Linked DNA regions of Struthio camelus. The protein of the gene in region 1 interacts with the protein of each later gene in a pairwise test. Links are inferred from orthologs where the notes say so. Each region holds a gene or a part of one and is shown in the gene's direction. Other genes may lie near its edges.

What was found. The genes of interacting proteins can lie anywhere in the genome.
Region 2: the proteins of EIF1AD (region 1) and STAT1 interact in binary tests that used the Homo sapiens proteins (3 or more experiments, as listed by UniProt). The two-hybrid records come from large-scale screens. The link is inferred for Struthio camelus from reciprocal best matches to the Homo sapiens genes EIF1AD and STAT1.

What each region holds. Positions count from the first base shown.
Region 1 is NC_090976.1:755,062-762,939, reverse strand, and holds the start of EIF1AD (probable RNA-binding protein EIF1AD), read left to right. Parts: upstream 1-4,140; 5' UTR 4,141-4,280; exon of another isoform or gene 4,281-4,287; intron 4,288-4,293; exon of another isoform or gene 4,294-4,403; 5' UTR 4,404-4,412; coding exon 4,413-4,499; intron 4,500-6,885; coding exon 6,886-6,994; intron 6,995-7,457; coding exon 7,458-7,566; intron 7,567-7,878. Other genes in the region: BANF1 (barrier-to-autointegration factor), read right to left, coding at 1-110, 1,928-2,053.
Region 2 is NC_090947.1:14,434,849-14,442,990, forward strand, and holds the start of STAT1 (signal transducer and activator of transcription 1-alpha/beta), read left to right. Parts: upstream 1-4,496; 5' UTR 4,497-4,678; intron 4,679-5,623; exon of another isoform or gene 5,624-5,696; intron 5,697-6,680; 5' UTR 6,681-6,681; coding exon 6,682-6,809; intron 6,810-7,466; coding exon 7,467-7,611; intron 7,612-8,142. Other genes in the region: STAT4 (signal transducer and activator of transcription 4), read left to right, coding at 1,197-1,223. UniProt on the Homo sapiens protein: Signal transducer and transcription activator that mediates cellular responses to interferons (IFNs), cytokine KITLG/SCF and other cytokines and other growth factors.

The sequences.
Region 1 (7,878 bases):
GAGCAGTCGCGCGACTGCTTGGCGTTGGCGCCGCACGTGTCCTTGAGCCACTCGCGGAAAAGCTCCTCGTCCTTCTTGAGCACCAGGAACTGGCCCAGCACCACGTAGGCCTGGCGGGGGGGGGACAGGCGTCACGGGCGGGGGGCACCCTGCCTCTTGGGGACACCCTGGGGACACCCCCTGGGGACACCCCGGCGTGCTAGGGACACCTTGACACCCCTTGGGGACACCCCGACACCCCCTGGGGACACCCCGACACCTCCTGGGGACACCCCGACATGCTAGGGACACTTTGACACCCCCTGGGGACACCCCGACACCCCCTGGGGACACCCCGGCATGCTAGGGACACCTTGACACCCCCTGGGGACACCCTGACACCCCCTGGGGACACCCTGGGGACACCCTGACACCCCTGGGGACACCCCGACACCCCCTGGGGACACCCCGGCATGCTAGGGACACTTAAACACCCCCTGGGGACACCCCGACACCCCCTGGGGACACCCCGGCATGCTAGGGACACTTCGACACCCCCTGGGGACACCCTGGGGACACCCCGGCACGCTAGGAACACTTTGACACCCCCTGGGGACACCCCAACACGCTAGGGACACCCCGACACCCCCTGGGGACACCGCCTGGGGACACCCTGACATGCTAGGGACACCTCAACACCCCCTGGGGACACCCTGACACGCTAGGGACACCCCGACACCCCCTGGGAACACCCCGACGCCCCCCCCAGGGACACCCTGACACCCCAAAGACATCTTGGGGACACCCTGACAGCCCCCAGGGACACCCTGGGGACCCTCTGACGCTCAGGACACCCCTCCGCGCCTCGCGCGTCCCCAATAGCAGCCAACGTCCCCCACTGGTGTCCCCAACCTCACCCCCCCCCACGTCTCTGCAATGTCCCCGATGTCCTCGCAGTGGCCCCGAGGGTGACCCCAGGGTGGCCCTGCGGTGTCCCCACCTCTGCGTCCCCACAGTGGCCCCAAGGGCGTCCCCGTGGTGTCCCCAGGGTGGCCCCGCGGTGTCCCCACCTTGTTGAAGTCCTTCTCCTCCAACTTCTTGCCCAGCACGTCCCCGATGCCGGCCAGCGTCCCCAGCGGTGTCCCCAACCCCACAGCCGCCCCCCACGGTCCCCGTGGTGTCCCCAGGGTGTCCCCGCGGTGTCCCCAGGGTGTCCCCACCTTGTCGAAGCCCTTCTCCTCCAGCTTCTTGCCCAGCACGTCCCCGATGCCGGCCAGCGTCCCCAGCGGTGTCCCCAACCCCACAGCCACCCCCCACGGTCCCCGTGGTGTCCCCAGGGTGTCCCCGCGGTGTCCCCACCTTGTCGAAGCCCTTCTCCTCCAGCTTCTTGCCCAGCACGTCCCCGATGCCGGCCAGCGTCCCCAGCGGTGTCCCCAACCCCACAGCCGCCCCCCACGGTCCCCGTGGTGTCCCCAGGGTGTCCCCGCGGTGTCCCCAGGGCGTCCCCGCGGTGTCCCCACCTTGTCGAAGCCCTTCTCCTCCAGCTTCTTGCCCAGCACGTCCCCGATGCCGGCCAGCGTCCCCAGCGGTGTCCCCAACCCCACAGCCACCCCCCACGGTCCCCGTGGTGTCCCCAGGGTGTCCCCGCGGTGTCCCCACCTTGTCGAAGCCCTTCTCCTCCAGCTTCTTGCCCAGCACGTCCCCGATGCCGGCCAGCGTCCCCAGCGGTGTCCCCAACCCCACAGCCGCCCCCCACGGTCCCCGTGGTGTCCCCAGGGTGTCCCCGCGGTGTCCCCACCTTGTCGAAGCCCTTCTCCTCCAGCTTCTTGCCCAGCACGTCCCCGATGCCGGCCAGCGTCCCCAGCGGTGTCCCCAACCCCACAGCCACCCCCCACGGTCCCCGTGGTGTCCCCAGGGTGTCCCCGCGGTGTCCCCAGGGTGTCCCCACCTTGTCGAAGCCCTTCTCCTCCAGCTTCTTGCCCAGCACGTCCCCGATGCCGGCCAGCGTCCCCACCGGCTTCTCGCCCATGGGCTCCGCCACGAAGTCCCGGTGCTTCTGCGACGTCGAGGACATCTCGGCTCGCCCTGCCGGCGGGGGGGGGGACACAGACGGTGCCACCGCGTTGGGGACGGGGGGGGGGGGATGGGACGGCCCCCAGGAGCGACGGGGACAGACCGCGGGGGGGGGGGGGTGACGCGGGGACGCGGATGGTGACAGGGACCGGGCAGCTCGGGGGGGGGGGGGGGGACAATGTGGGGACAGCGGCAGCCCCGGGGGGGGGGACAAAGGTGCCCCCGGGGCTGGAGGAGGCAGCGTTGTCCCCTCTCCCCCCCCCCCACCCCGTGCAGGGGCCCAGGCGATCCTGACCCTCCCCCCCCCCAGCAGGGGCCCAGGCGATCCCGCCCCTCCCCCGGCTATAAATACCCCAGCGCAGCTGCAGCAGGGGCCCCGGGGGGGGGGCACAAACAGCCCCCCCCGAGACTCCCTGGGAGCCCCCCGAAACCCATGGGACCCCCCCAAGAGCCCCCTCAAGCCCCAGAGACCCCCCAAAGACCCCCAGAGCCCCCCCGGACCCATAGACACCCCAAAAACTGCCCTACAACCCCTCCAGCCCCACAGACCGCCCCCAAGAAGTCCCCCACAGCCCCATAGGCTTCCGCAATCACCATAGACCCCCACAGACCCCCCCAAAGACCCCCGAGAACCCCCTCCAGCCTCATAGACCCCCCCAAGAACCCCCCAGAGCCCCCTCAACCCCATAGATCCCCCTAAGGACCCCCCAGAGCCCCTTCCAGCCCCATTGACCCCCTAAAGACACCCCAGAGCCCCCTCAGCCCCACAGACCCCCCTAAGCACCGCCCAGAGCCTCCTCTAGCCCCATTGACCCCCCCCAAAAGACCACTCAGAGATTCCTCAGCCCCATAGACCCCCTCAAGGACCCTCCAGAGCCCCCTATAGCCCCACACCCCCCCAAGGACCCTCCAGAGCCCCCTACAGCCCCCCAGACCTCCCTAGGCACCCCCCAGAGCCCCCCAAAGCCCCATAGACCCCCCTAAGGACCCTCCAGAGCCCCCTCCAGCCCCATAGACCCCCCTAAGCACCCCCAGAGCCCCCTCAACCCCATAGAACCCCCCTAAGCACCCCCAGAGCCCCCTCAACCCCATAGACCCCCCCAAGAATCCCCCAGAGCCCCCTCAACCCCATAGAACCCCCCTAAGCACCCCCCAGGTCCCCCTCCAGCCCCATAGATCCCCCTAAGGACCCTCCAGAGCCCCCTCCAGCCCCATAGACCCCCCTAAGCACCCCCAGAGCCCCCTCAGCCCCATAGAACCCCCTAAGCACCCCCCAGGTCCCCCTCCAGCCCCATAGATCCCCCTAAGGACCCTCCAGAGCCCCCTCCAGCCCCATAGACCCCCCTAAGCACCCCCAGAGCCCCCTCAACCCCATAGAACCCCCTAAGCACCCCCCAGGTCCCCCTCCAGCCCCATAGATCCCCCTAAGGACCCTCCAGAGCCTCCTCCAGCCCCATAGACCCTCCCTAAGCACCCCCCAGAACCCCCCAAAGCCCCATAGACCCCCTAAGAACACCCCAGAGCCCCCTCAACCCCCATAGACCACCCCAAGGACCTCCCAGAGCTCTCTCAGCCCCATAGATCCCCCCAAGGACCCCTCAGAGCTCCCTCAGCCCCATTAGACCCCCCTAAGGACCCCCCAGAGCCCCCTACAGCCCCATAGACCCCCCCTAAGGACCCCCAGAGCCCCCTCAACCCCATAGACCCCCCCCAAAGACCCCCTAAGCTCCCTCAGCCCCATAGACCCCTCCAAGGACCCTCCAGAGCCCCCTACAGCCCCAGAGCCCTCCCCAGCTCCCCACACGCACCTCCCAAGCCCTAAAGACCCCCCCCAGGGAGCCTCCGGACCCCCCCCCGCCCTCACCGGCGCCGCCCGCCGCTGTCAACCGCCGCTCCCGCCCAACTGGCCGCTGCGCGCGCCTGCGCGCTGCCGTCACTTCCGGCCACGCCGGAAGTGCACCCGCCGCCGGCGACCGCTCTAGGCGCGCCCGGAAGCGACCATAGAGAGGCGGCGGCTGCCTAGCAACGCGGTCGCCGCGGGCGCTCTAGGGCGACGGCGCCGCGACTCTGTGGTGCGCGGCGCCGCTCTAGCCCGCGGGAGGTTCCCGCGGCGAGACGCAGCGGCCTGTCAGAAACCACCATAGAGAGGAGGACCGGGGGGGAGGAGCCGGTGTCTCCGGAAGTGACGCCAGAGGGCGGTGCACCCGGAAGTGGCGGACTCCCATGCGGTGAGAGGTGGGAAGCGGCGGGGCGCGGCGGGAGGGGGGCAGCCCGGACGCCTGGGCCCCCCCGCCGCTACTGGGGCGGGGGAGGGGGACAGAGGAGGGACCCAGGCGTCCCGGCGGGCCCAGGCGTCCGGCATGTCGCAGGCCACCAAGCGGAAGCACGTGGCGCGGGAGGTGCTGGACGAGCGGGTGGTGCCGTCGCCGCGACAGCGCATCGTGCGGGTGAGCGGGGGGGGGGGGGACCCGGGGGGACCCGGGGGGGTGGGGACACGGGGAGGGACACGGGGATCCGGGGGGACCCGGGGGGACATAGGGGGACCCGGGGGGTGAGGACACGGGGGGGGACACGGGGACCCGGGGGGACCCGGGGGGACATAGGGAGACCCGGGGGGGTGAGGACACGGGGGGGGACACGGGGACCCGGGGGGACATAGGGGGACCCGGGGGGTGAGGACACGGGGGGACCCAGGGCGACATAGGGGGACCTGGGGGGACACAGGGGGATGAGGACACGGGGGGGGACACGGTGGGACATAGGGGGACCCGGGGGGACCCGGGGGGACACGGGGGGGGTGAGGACATGGGGGGACACGGGGGGGGGGTGAGGACATGGGGGGACACCAGGGGACCCGGGGGGGTGGGGACACCGGAGGGACACGAGGGGACCTGGGGGGGACACGGTGGGACATAGGGGGACACGGGGGGGGACGGGGGGACCCGGGGGGTGAGGACACCAGGGGACCTGGGGGGACAGGGCGGGACATGGGGGGGGGTGAGGACATGGGGACGGACAAGGCGGGACGGGGGGGGACACGGCAGGATATGGGAGGATGAGGACACGAAGGGACACGGGAGGGGACACGGGGGGACCTGGGGCCACGGCAGGACACGGGGTGAGGACATGGGGGGACCCGGGGGGGGGGGACACGAGGGGACCCAGGGACATGGGGACACGGGGAGGATGGGGACACCTGGGGGGACCTGGGGTGGGGACACCCGGGGGGGGCCAGGGGGACCTGGGGGTGTTGGGGACACAGAGGAGCACACAAGGGGACATGGCAGGACACAGGGACACGGTGGGGGGACCCGGGGGGACATGGGGGGACACGGCATGGGGGACACGCAGGAGAACACAAGGGGACACAGGGACACGGGGGGGTGGGGACACGCAGCGGGGACACACGGGAGATGGGGAGACGGGGGGGGGTCTTGAGAGGGGACATGAGGGGACCTGGGGGGGGGAATGGGGGCACCTGGGGGGGGGGACACGAGGGGACCCGGGGATATTAGGGGACTTGGGGACACAAGAGGACCCAGGGATGTGGTAGAGCAACAAAAAGGACATGGGGACACTTGGGGGGGGGCACCTGGGGGCAGGGACACCGTGGGTGGGGGTTGGGGGGGGGACACAGGGACCCAGGAGAGTCAGGGGGACCCAGGGGGGACATGGGGGGGCACAGAGAGACATGGGGACAGGGACACCTTGGGCGGGGGGACACAGGGACCCAGGAGAGTCAGGGGGACCCAGGGGGGACGTGGGGGGGCACCCCAGGGACACCTGGGGGGGGGACACAGGGACCCAGGAGAGTCAGGGGGACCCAGGGGGGACATGGGGGGGCACAGAGAGACATGGGGACAGGGACACCTTGGGCGGGGGGACACAGGGACCCAGGAGAGTCAGGGGGACCCAGGGGGGACGTGGGGGGGCACCCCAGGGACACCTGGGGGGGGGGACACAGGGACCCAGGAGAGTCAGGGGGGACCCAGGGGGGACATGGGGGGCACGGAGAGACATGGGGACAGGGACACCTTGGGGGGGGGGACACAGGGACCCAGGAGAGTCAGGGGGGACCCAGGGGGGACATGGGGGGGCACAGAGAGACATGGGGACAGGGACACCTTGGGGGGGGGGGGGACACAGGGACCCAGGAGAGTCAGGGGGACCCGGGGGGGGCATGGGGGGCACGGAGAGACATGGGGACAAGGACACCTTGGGGGGGGGACACAGGGACCCAGGAGAGTCAGGGGGACCCAGAGGGAACATGGGGGGGGCACCCCAGGGACACCTGGGGGGGGGGGACACAGGGACCCAGGAGAGTCAGGGGGGACCCGGGGGGGACATGGGGGGCACGGAGAGACATGGGGACAGGGACACCTGGGGGGGGGGACACAGGGACCCAGGAGAGTCAGGGGGACCCGGGGGGGGCACAGAGAGACATGGGGACAAGGACACCTTGGGGGGGGACACAGGGACCCAGGAGAGTCAGGGGGACCCAGAGGGAACATGGGGGGGGCACCCCAGGGACACCTGGGGGGGGGACACAGGGACCCAGGAGAGTCAGGGGGGACCCGGGGGGGACATGGGGGGCACGGAGAGACATGGGGACAGGGACACCTGGGGGGGGGAACCCAGGGACCCAGGAGGGACGGGGACACCCAGGGGGGACATGGGGACACAGGGACATTTGGTGGTGGTGGGGAAAGACCACCTGGGGACACCCAGGGACATGGAGGAGGGGGCACAGGAGGGACAAGGGGCCACCCAGGGGACACGGAGGGGGTCTGGGGGACGCTGCGGTCCCCGACGTGTCCCCCCCCCCCTCCCCAGGTGCTGGGGACGCCGGGGAACAACCTGCACGAGGTGGAGACGGCCGAGGGCGCCCGCTTCCTCGTCAGCATGCCGCCCAAGTTCCGCCGCCACATCTGGATCAAGAGAGGTCCCCAACGCGTCCCCGACGCGTCCCCAACGCGTCCCCTCGCAGCCACCCGGCCCCCTACGCGCTCCCCGGCCCGGTCCCTTCGCGCCCGCGCAGCTCAACGCGGCCCTTCGCGCCCGCGCGCCTCCGCCGCTGCGTCCCCGCCGTGTCACCTCCCGCCCCGGGTGGCCCCGGCGTGTCCCCAAGGTGTCCCCTCCTGGCTCCGTCACCCGCCGCGGGTCACCTTGCGCTCCTCTGTCTCCAACGCGTCCCCAACGTATCTGCTCCTGCCGTGCCCCCCCCCGATACGTCCCCGACGCGTCCCCAGTGTGTCACCTCCTGGCTTTGTCACCGCGGCGCGTCCCCAAGGGATGCTGTCCTGGTCACGCCACCCCAGCGTGGTCCCGACGTGTCCCCCCAACGCCTCCCCTCGCGGCCCCGGCGTGTCCCCAACGTGTCCCCTCTTGCCCCCCCCCCCCCGCAGGTGACTTCCTGCTGGTGGACCCCATCGAGGAGGGCGAGAAGGTGAAGGCCGAGATGCGCCTCGTCCTCTTCCGCGACCACGTCCGCTTCCTGCAGCGCCAGGGGCTCTGGTACCTGCCCCCCCCCCCGGGACCCCCAACCCCCCTGGGGACCCCCCAAAACTTCTCAGTCACCCCCTAACCCCCCCCAGGACCCCCAACCCCCCTGGGGACCCCCCAAAACTTCTCAGTCACCCCCTAACCCCCCCCGGGACTTCTAAAATCCCTTGGGAATCTCCCAGACCTGCTAGGACCCCCCCAAGCCCTGCCCAGGACCCCCCAAACCTTCCTTAGGGATCCCCAAAACCTCTCAGGGACCCCTCCCCACACCCCCCCCCTCCAGGACCCCCAAAATCCCTTGGGAACCCCTCAAACCCCCTGGGA
Region 2 (8,142 bases), on another chromosome or scaffold:
TGTCTAATCAGTGCAGGAGGTATAAATAGCAAAAATTATTTGGCTGCACAATGAAACTTTAAGTATAAGTAGAGAAATTCTTTATTATAGAACAAACTGAAGAGCTGATTGCGTACCACACAATCTGAGACATGTCTTCACCCGTTTGTCATTTGTTTTATATCTATGAAAACAGTTCCGACTTTAGAAACTGCATTTGTGAACTATATGTATGTTTGCATTTCTTTAAGTTTTGGCAGTGAAAAGAATAGTTGGCTTCACTTTTGTTTATCATCAGGTACCAAGCATTTTCAGTTTCCTTTCGCATGCACAGGAATTCTCAAACCAGCTCTGTGAGGAGCTTCCAAACCACCAGCTGTGATCAGCACCATCTCTTGGGGTCACAAAAAGAAAGTGTTTGCTGCTGAGTTGGGAGAATCGAATGTAATCATGTTGCAATTTAAGGGTACTAGAGAAGTAGTTCAGTGCTGCCAGATGGTAGGTGGATTTCTGGAGGCTCTTGCTAGATACGTTTTCTTCTAATAATTAGGGGAGAAAATAGTCTTTGAAGATTTCAAGACAATTTTCTACTTTTTTTTTTTTCCATTACTCTGCTGAATGAAAATGAGGGAAATTTGGAGTTTTTTACTTTATTCATCTCAAATTCACACATGATGACCTCTGCTAGTGAGTAGCCGGCTAAGTTCAGTAAGCAGCCAGTTTGCATTATTAAAGCGACAGTGTCTCTTCACTTTTTCTCCATGAGATGTCAGTGAAAGAGATCACTGTCTGAGAGGCAGAGAACAAGAGTGAAAGCTGTGGCAGGAAAAAATATCTTACAACTCAGTGACTTGATCCTAGCAAGATATACTTTCTGCAGTCTTGTTGGATTCCCTTTCCATTCCCCTCCTCTAGATTCTCCTACCCATCTGGGAAATGGGACTCAGGAAAAACCTTGCTCTACATATCCATGGGCTACAAGAACCACAGAAGTTCATGTACTTTTATTGCAACTGTTCCCAATAAGTCTTTTCTAATGAATATTACTAGGTTTTGTGAGGGATTAGAAGGGGTATCTTCAGAGCCTTACAAGTTTTTATTAGAGTGTGCAAATGAGACTGCAATTACTTTGAGCCAGAGAGGGCTTGATTTGCAGTAACTTTTGAATGAGCAGCAGCAACTGTCTTGAGGCTGATATTTTTATTCTTTTCTTCTAGCTGAGTTCTCCTTATTCAACTGACTGAAGTTCAGGTACTGGAAAAACAAAGAATCATGTGGACACTGCATGGGTTAAATGAAGTCAATATTTATCATCTTTGTAAATTACCATTTCCTGAAAATGATTGTGATGCTATTCTTGGGCCTTGTTCTGCTTTCAAATACAAGTAAACCAAGAATCTTCTCTGTAGAGTCAGTGGGATTATAAATAGCTTCCTGGAATTCAGAATTGCCATCTTCGCTGATAGAAGGCCAAATCCTTTCTGGCTTCTAGGTCCTTTGACTTCTGTGGGGTCCAGTAGGCACAAATTTGACTTGTAAAATAAACGGCTGTAGGATTGCTGTAAATATGACATTATAAGAAAATGTTTTGCTTCTGAGAACCACCTGAAAGCAGCCTATGGGGATAACTAAAGAGATTAAGGTTTGGGTGGATTAGGATTTCTTCTGCCAAACAGCTTCTATTATACTGTTGGTTTGACTTCTATTTTAAAGAGAAGATTCTCATCCCTCTGAGTTTGATTGTCCCAAAGGTATCTGGGGTTTGTTTTTTCTAGAGATGAACCACCTTCAGCACAGAGGGCCAGAGGTTTTTATCCCACCACAGCAAAAGCCATGGAAGGGAGGAAGGCAAGGCTGGGAAGAGAAGGGAGTTCTAGAAAGTGAACGGACACAAAACTTGGAGTCAAAAAAGCGCTCTGTCTCCATTTTACACCTGGAAGACAGGATTAGTAAAACCTCCCCCTCTCACAGGATAGTTGCAGAGGTAAATCGATTGGTGTGAAGCACTCAGATACTATTGTAAGCACTATCAGGAAGCCTACAAAGAAAATCCTGATCTGGCGCAGTATTTGGATGCTATCTGGTAAGATGCAGACTAGGAAGCACAGTTTGAAAAAATAATTACTGAAGAACTGCGTCATTTGCTGACCACGGGGCAACCTGCAATAGATGATGGAGTGTCACATGCCAGGGGGAGGCTCCTTTAATAAACAGAGTAACTAGTTTTTAAATAAATGGTAAATTGCCTTTTAAAAACATTCTTCTTTCTTGCAGTCACAGTTTAACTTTCTTTTTTCAATATTATCCCTAAAAAAGCCTGTTTATAGAATAATAAACTGGCAATTCTGTGGTCTCTGTCTTTCAAGTATACAGGCTCATTGAATGGCAACTGTATATATAGTTTGGTAACCTCTGTAATTTATATGACTGATATGAATAAAAACAAATATCGGCTTAAAGTTACCTGGTCTTTTGTGGAATTTTTCAAGGTGCATTGAAAACAGAGGCTTGCTTTCTCCTTGCGGATCTTAAATCTAAACTACAAGCAGTAACGTGGACTTCTAAAGTAGCAAACATAACTTCACCTAGCATCAACTACTGTATGATTTTTCATTCTAATCTGTTCTCGCAATTTTAATCCAAAAAAAATGGGAAATGTGCTATACTTTTGATCACTGGAATAGTGTGAAAAGTACTGTGAAAAAGTCTAGTGGTCCAAATGTCACATGTGAACCAATCTTCTCTTCTCTCCTTCCTCCTTGCCCCCCATGCAGTGCAATTATCTGGCTTGACTTGAACTCAGCACTTTTTATGTTACTGGATAGGACTGAGGATCAGGTTTTGGCATTACTATTTTCGTTGTCCTTTTAAAAATTTTGCAAAAGGCAGCTTTAACATTTCATTGGAATGCATGCAATTTCAATTCAGTTCACTGCTTTTAAGAAACACAGAAGTCATCTTCTATAAGATAAACATCTTAAGCCAAAGCCTTCTTCCATAAAAAGGAAGACTTTTGTCCTTAAGTCAGTATGAGTAAGATTAGGGCTCTAATAAAATAGAATGAGAAAATGTTGAAAATTACATTCTTGGATACTGACAGAAAAGATGAAACATGTGCTTTCAAGTGCTTTCACCATGTTTTGCAGCTGCAAAGTCAAAAACAACAGGAAAAAAAAATCACTAAGTGCTTTGTGTTTGACCACATCACCATGATTCAAGTTAAACGAAAACTGCTAGTTACCATCAACTATAGCATTAAAAATCTGTACACAGTACTTGGTACGATTTAAGACTTCATATCATTTCCTCCATTTTGAGGAGAAAGGGATCCAAACTAAGCCAGAAAAAGGTCTGCGCCGCTGGAGACCGGCGCCACAGCCTGAGCTGCGGTTGTAACCGGTCAGAAACAAACGAGACCCGGCACGACCGGGGGGAGCAGTGCAGTCCTAACAGACAAAACGGCTCGCACAGAGAGGGGCACGAGGAAAGGAAAACTGCCAAAACAATTCATTGGGGGGGGGGGAGGGGGGGAGAGCGGGGAATCCCAACCGGCAACATATCCGGAAAGATTATAAACACTCTTTTGTTTGCAGCTCTCATTCTTAAAAGTCACTGCAACTTAGATAGGAAACTGGGCTGCAGTTCATAAACTGACTGCCTTTCTACCAGACCTGTGCCAGTTACGTTCGTTTCTTCCACGAAGAGACGGACGAGACCGTTGCCCTTCCGCCGGCTCGGCCGGCCGCCCGCCGCCGCCGCCGCTCCTTTCGCTTTCGCCTTCCCCTCAGCCGGCCCGTTCCCCGAAATCACGTGACGCGGCTGTTCCCGGGCCTCGCTGCCCCCCCCCGCCGCGGGGAGCCGCGCCTGCGCTCTGGCGCGCGCCCGGCCGGGGGCCGTTGGTAACGGCCGCCCTCTCCCCCCCCCCCCCCAAGGAGGCGGATGCACACGCGTTCCGTGTCGGAACTTGGGTCGGGGTCAGTTTTACACTCTTTCCTCCTAGGACAGGGGCTGTCTTTTCCTACAGCCTGTTACTCCCGACACCTAACCTTCCTTCCTGTTGGCCACCTTTCCTGCAGTATCATTTGCTTCTCTTCCCCGTGTTATATTTACTCATGCGGGTTTCCGTAGGCATCGCGCACCTTTTCGTTCCTTGCTCCTAGCTGGCATATTCTCTCACATATATCCAGCTACGCTTCTAAACTTTTTTTTTTGTGCTAATATTCTTTGCAAAAGCTAGAAATCAAGAAAAATGCAGGCCTGTGCCCTAGAATGACGTTGCGCGCGGTATTTCTGCTTCATCTACTATTGGCAACGTCATTGCTGCTCCATCACACAGCAAGCGGTCGAAACCTCGGCGCATTTGGTGTTTGGCCCGCAGATTGGGCATAGTTCTGCACAGGTAGTCGGCTGGCCAGGCACCCGGACGACAGCCGTCAGGGCGGCAGCGCCCGGCCCGGCCCAGGCCGGGGTGGCGGGGGAGCCGCCCCGGGACCGCCCTGCCTCCCCGCTGCGAGAGCGAGAGGGCAAGGGCAGGGGGCGGGGCGGGGCGAGCGCGGCGGCACCGCGAGCCCATTGGCCGGGGCGGCGAAAGCGAGGCTCCCATTGGCTCTCGGGCGGGCCGTGGGGCTGCGGCTTTGCGAGTATTTCTCGGTACGGGTGGCCGTCGCGGTGCAGAGCTGGAGCGCAGCCTCGTCTTCGAGTAAGTGTGCGCGTGCGGGCCAACGGCCGCGGGGGAGGGGGGTCGCGCGAGAAGGGGGCTACTGCCGCCGCTGCCCCCCGGCCCGCGGTGGGGGGGGGGGATGGAGGGGGGTGCAGGCTCCCAGCCAGCCGGGACGGCTGCCCTGCGCTCGGCCCCCCATCTGCGAGCGCCTGCTTCGCTGGCCGTCAGCCGGAGAGCCAGAAACGATACTAAACATGAGTTGTGACAAGGCGAGCGCGGCGCCCGGCGAGGAGGGGGCGAAGCCCTGTCGCCTCGCAGCGGGAGCGGGCGGCTGCCGGCGGGACACGAAGCCGCACACAGCGGCGGGGGCTGCCGGGGAGACAGGGCCCTGCTGCCCGCAGAGAGGCACGCCGGCTGCCCTTGGGTCACCCTGACCGCCCCGGGGGAGGTGAAGCAGCAAAGCAGCCTTTCCTCCCTGCCAGTTTGCCAGGGCCGGCCTGAGCCCCCCTGCCCTGCCCTGCCACGGGTCTCGCTAACCGTTTCTCCCCGAGCGGTACCGACTTCCTCCCCGCGTGAGCGTTTCCCTGCTCGCCTCTCCAAGGATCACGCCTGCTACGTGATCACGTTGCTCTGTAACCCCCAATTCAGAGGGTTCTCCGCCAGGCTTCCCAAGCCCCTGTCCAATGTGGTTGCTTTAAGACACAGGAGGATTAGAGTACCTTATAGCAGTATTTAAGCAGTGCTTTTAAAAAGAAAGAAAGAAAAAAAACTTTGTGCATTTGGATACCCCCTTCCAGCTTTCCTCACCAGTATCATGCTTTAATTGTTGGCCTTGGTGCCACTACAGTATATTCAAATTAACTACAGTATATTCAAACTAACTGCTGTGTTTTCTAGAGTTGGAATCTTGCCCACACCAAAAAGCCCCAAAGCCCTTACTTTAAACATCATAGCATTTTTTACCTTACACTTGCTCTCGCATAGGCTATATGCAACTCTACAGTTGAGGGATCTGGCATACAAACACTAATGGATTTGGCAACAGCCCATACACAAGGTACTGCTTCACCCCCGAGTGTACATTGTCCTTTGGATAAGTCTTATCACCTTTTTGAAGAGGTTGCAGATGCAAGCGGGGTTACATGTCTCCACCTGAGCCTGACAGCTATTCCCTGGACATATCTTTACCTGCCACTACTGCAAGACACTAACCTGCAGACCAGAAAGGAGGAGATAACTGCTTTCCAGCAAGAGTCCATACATCAGAGCTAACAGCCACTCTATAACAACTCTTAACTGCGCAGCATGGCTTCTCTCAGTCATACTAGTTAATTCTAGATAACCCATGTCTACTGCAGAGACTTGAATTTAGCCTGAAAATCTGATCATAACTACTAAAGCATAATACAAAGAGAATATCTTTCAAATACGTCTCCATTTAAAGCAACCTGAGGTCTAGGCCATTTTCAGAGCAGGTAGGTAGAGACACATGTAGTACCTGAAAGTGAGCCCCTAGAAGTTTCTTTACTTTTCCAGTTACTTCTTCCACCTCTGGGGATTGGCAGGGACAATATCTGCACAGATGAAAATGGGATCTTGATCCTACCGAGTACAGGTACAGGGCACATAGCTGCTCATACATATTTAGGGATATACCCCCTTAACAGGGGGTAAGGAAGAAAGAAAGAATAGAGAATAACACTACTAGTACCCTAAGTGCTGTGAACATGGATTCAAAGGAAAAAAGAAATGCAAGTTTCCATAAAACGTGATTGAACTTTGACTTACTTGTCATGAAATAGTATGGTGACTGTCTTAATTTGCTGTATTTTTTTTAAATTAAAATGGGCATGGAAAAATTGTATTCAGTTTGATGAGTAGCTTTCTCTTGTTACATCTAAAAACCTATGTTTTTACTGAAAACACTTTTCCTTCCTGCTCATCCAATTTTACCATTTTTAATGAGAACTTTAAATGAGTGACTTTTCACTAGCTAAGTCCAAATATTAATTATTTACATTGATTTATTTTTTTTCCCTAGGATGACTCAGTGGTATCAGCTGCAGCAACTTGATTCCAAGTTTTTGGAGCAAGTTCACCAGCTGTATGATGACAGCTTTCCTATGGAAATTAGACAGTACCTAGCTCAGTGGCTGGAAAACCAAGACTGGTAAGCCTGAAGGACAGTGGTGATGTGCATAGAAACTGGCCTTCAGGTTACATGACAAGCAGTGCTCTCATGCGGAGTCACAGGCAGCAAAAAAGTTCTGGGGAAGCAAGCTGCTAGGTAGACCTATGCTGGCAAGGACGTTCAGTAGCTATATCTCTGCTAGTCCATGTTCCCGTCCCTCTTCAGGGCTTTCGAGAGGGGCCTGATGTTTAGACTAAGTATATTATCCTATTTTTCCTTTGGTTGGTCTGTCATGGAAGCAGCCATTTTAAGAAAGACCTGTTACCTTGGTGTCTTAGTCTCTCGCTAGTTGCTGGCTTTAAACATTTACCAAGATGTTTATGGAGCGTCTTCTTATAGGACTGTGGTACAACATGCACATGCATCAAGTTCACTTTAGGCTTCCTGATGTTCATGGAACGGGTAAATGAAGTTAAGACGGTATGTGGTGAGAATACTATAGAGGAAAAGACAGCATTTCTTTATCACAGAAAATGAGATTAGAAGGGAATGAAAGTGGGTTACCTTTACAAGTAATTCTTACTGCTTGCAAACTACAACTGGAGTCAGGGAGAAAAACATGTAGTACACCACTTTGTGTTTCTTGAGTACCTGCTGAAAGTGTATTTAACATAAGCATGCCTTAAATTATTCCAGGGAACATGCAGCCAACAACGTATCTTTTGCTACAGTGCTATTCCATGACCTGCTGTCACAGCTTGATGATCAGTTTAGTCGATTTTTGATAGAAAACAACTTCTTGCTGCAACACAACATAAGGAAAAGCAAACGTAATCTTCAGGTAGGCCTGGGACATATGCCTGTACATTTGCTTGAATTGTTTCAGTTTTACAATTGGATCCCTCTAAGACTACCTTGACATGAGGTATTTTTACACAGTATTTGTGAGAAACCTAATTTAAGAAGTCAGAATTTAAACATTACTCTGTTTTGGTTTTATTTGTCTACAGTTCAACTGTTTTTGAGATCTCTAGAAATAAAAAGTTAAGTTGTACTTTGTAAGGTATTTACTCTGTGTATTTGGCAGTGCTTCTACAAATGGAGTTTCATTTACCTTACCCCTTCCCAATCAGTATCCTCAGTATCCTAATAAATCTCTGAGGCAGCAGAAGAAACAGGGGGACACAGGGGAATAAATTCTTTCCATGTAACTATAGAATCGCAGTTGATAACAAAGGACCTGTGATGAGACACCACTTCTGTGGACCATATTGTACTGATAAAGAAAAGGACCAAAGCAGTTTGTGTAGAGTGTAGCACTGCAGAACACATCTGTAGTGGATTTCATTATTTTTCCTTAGCTGGTCTTCCC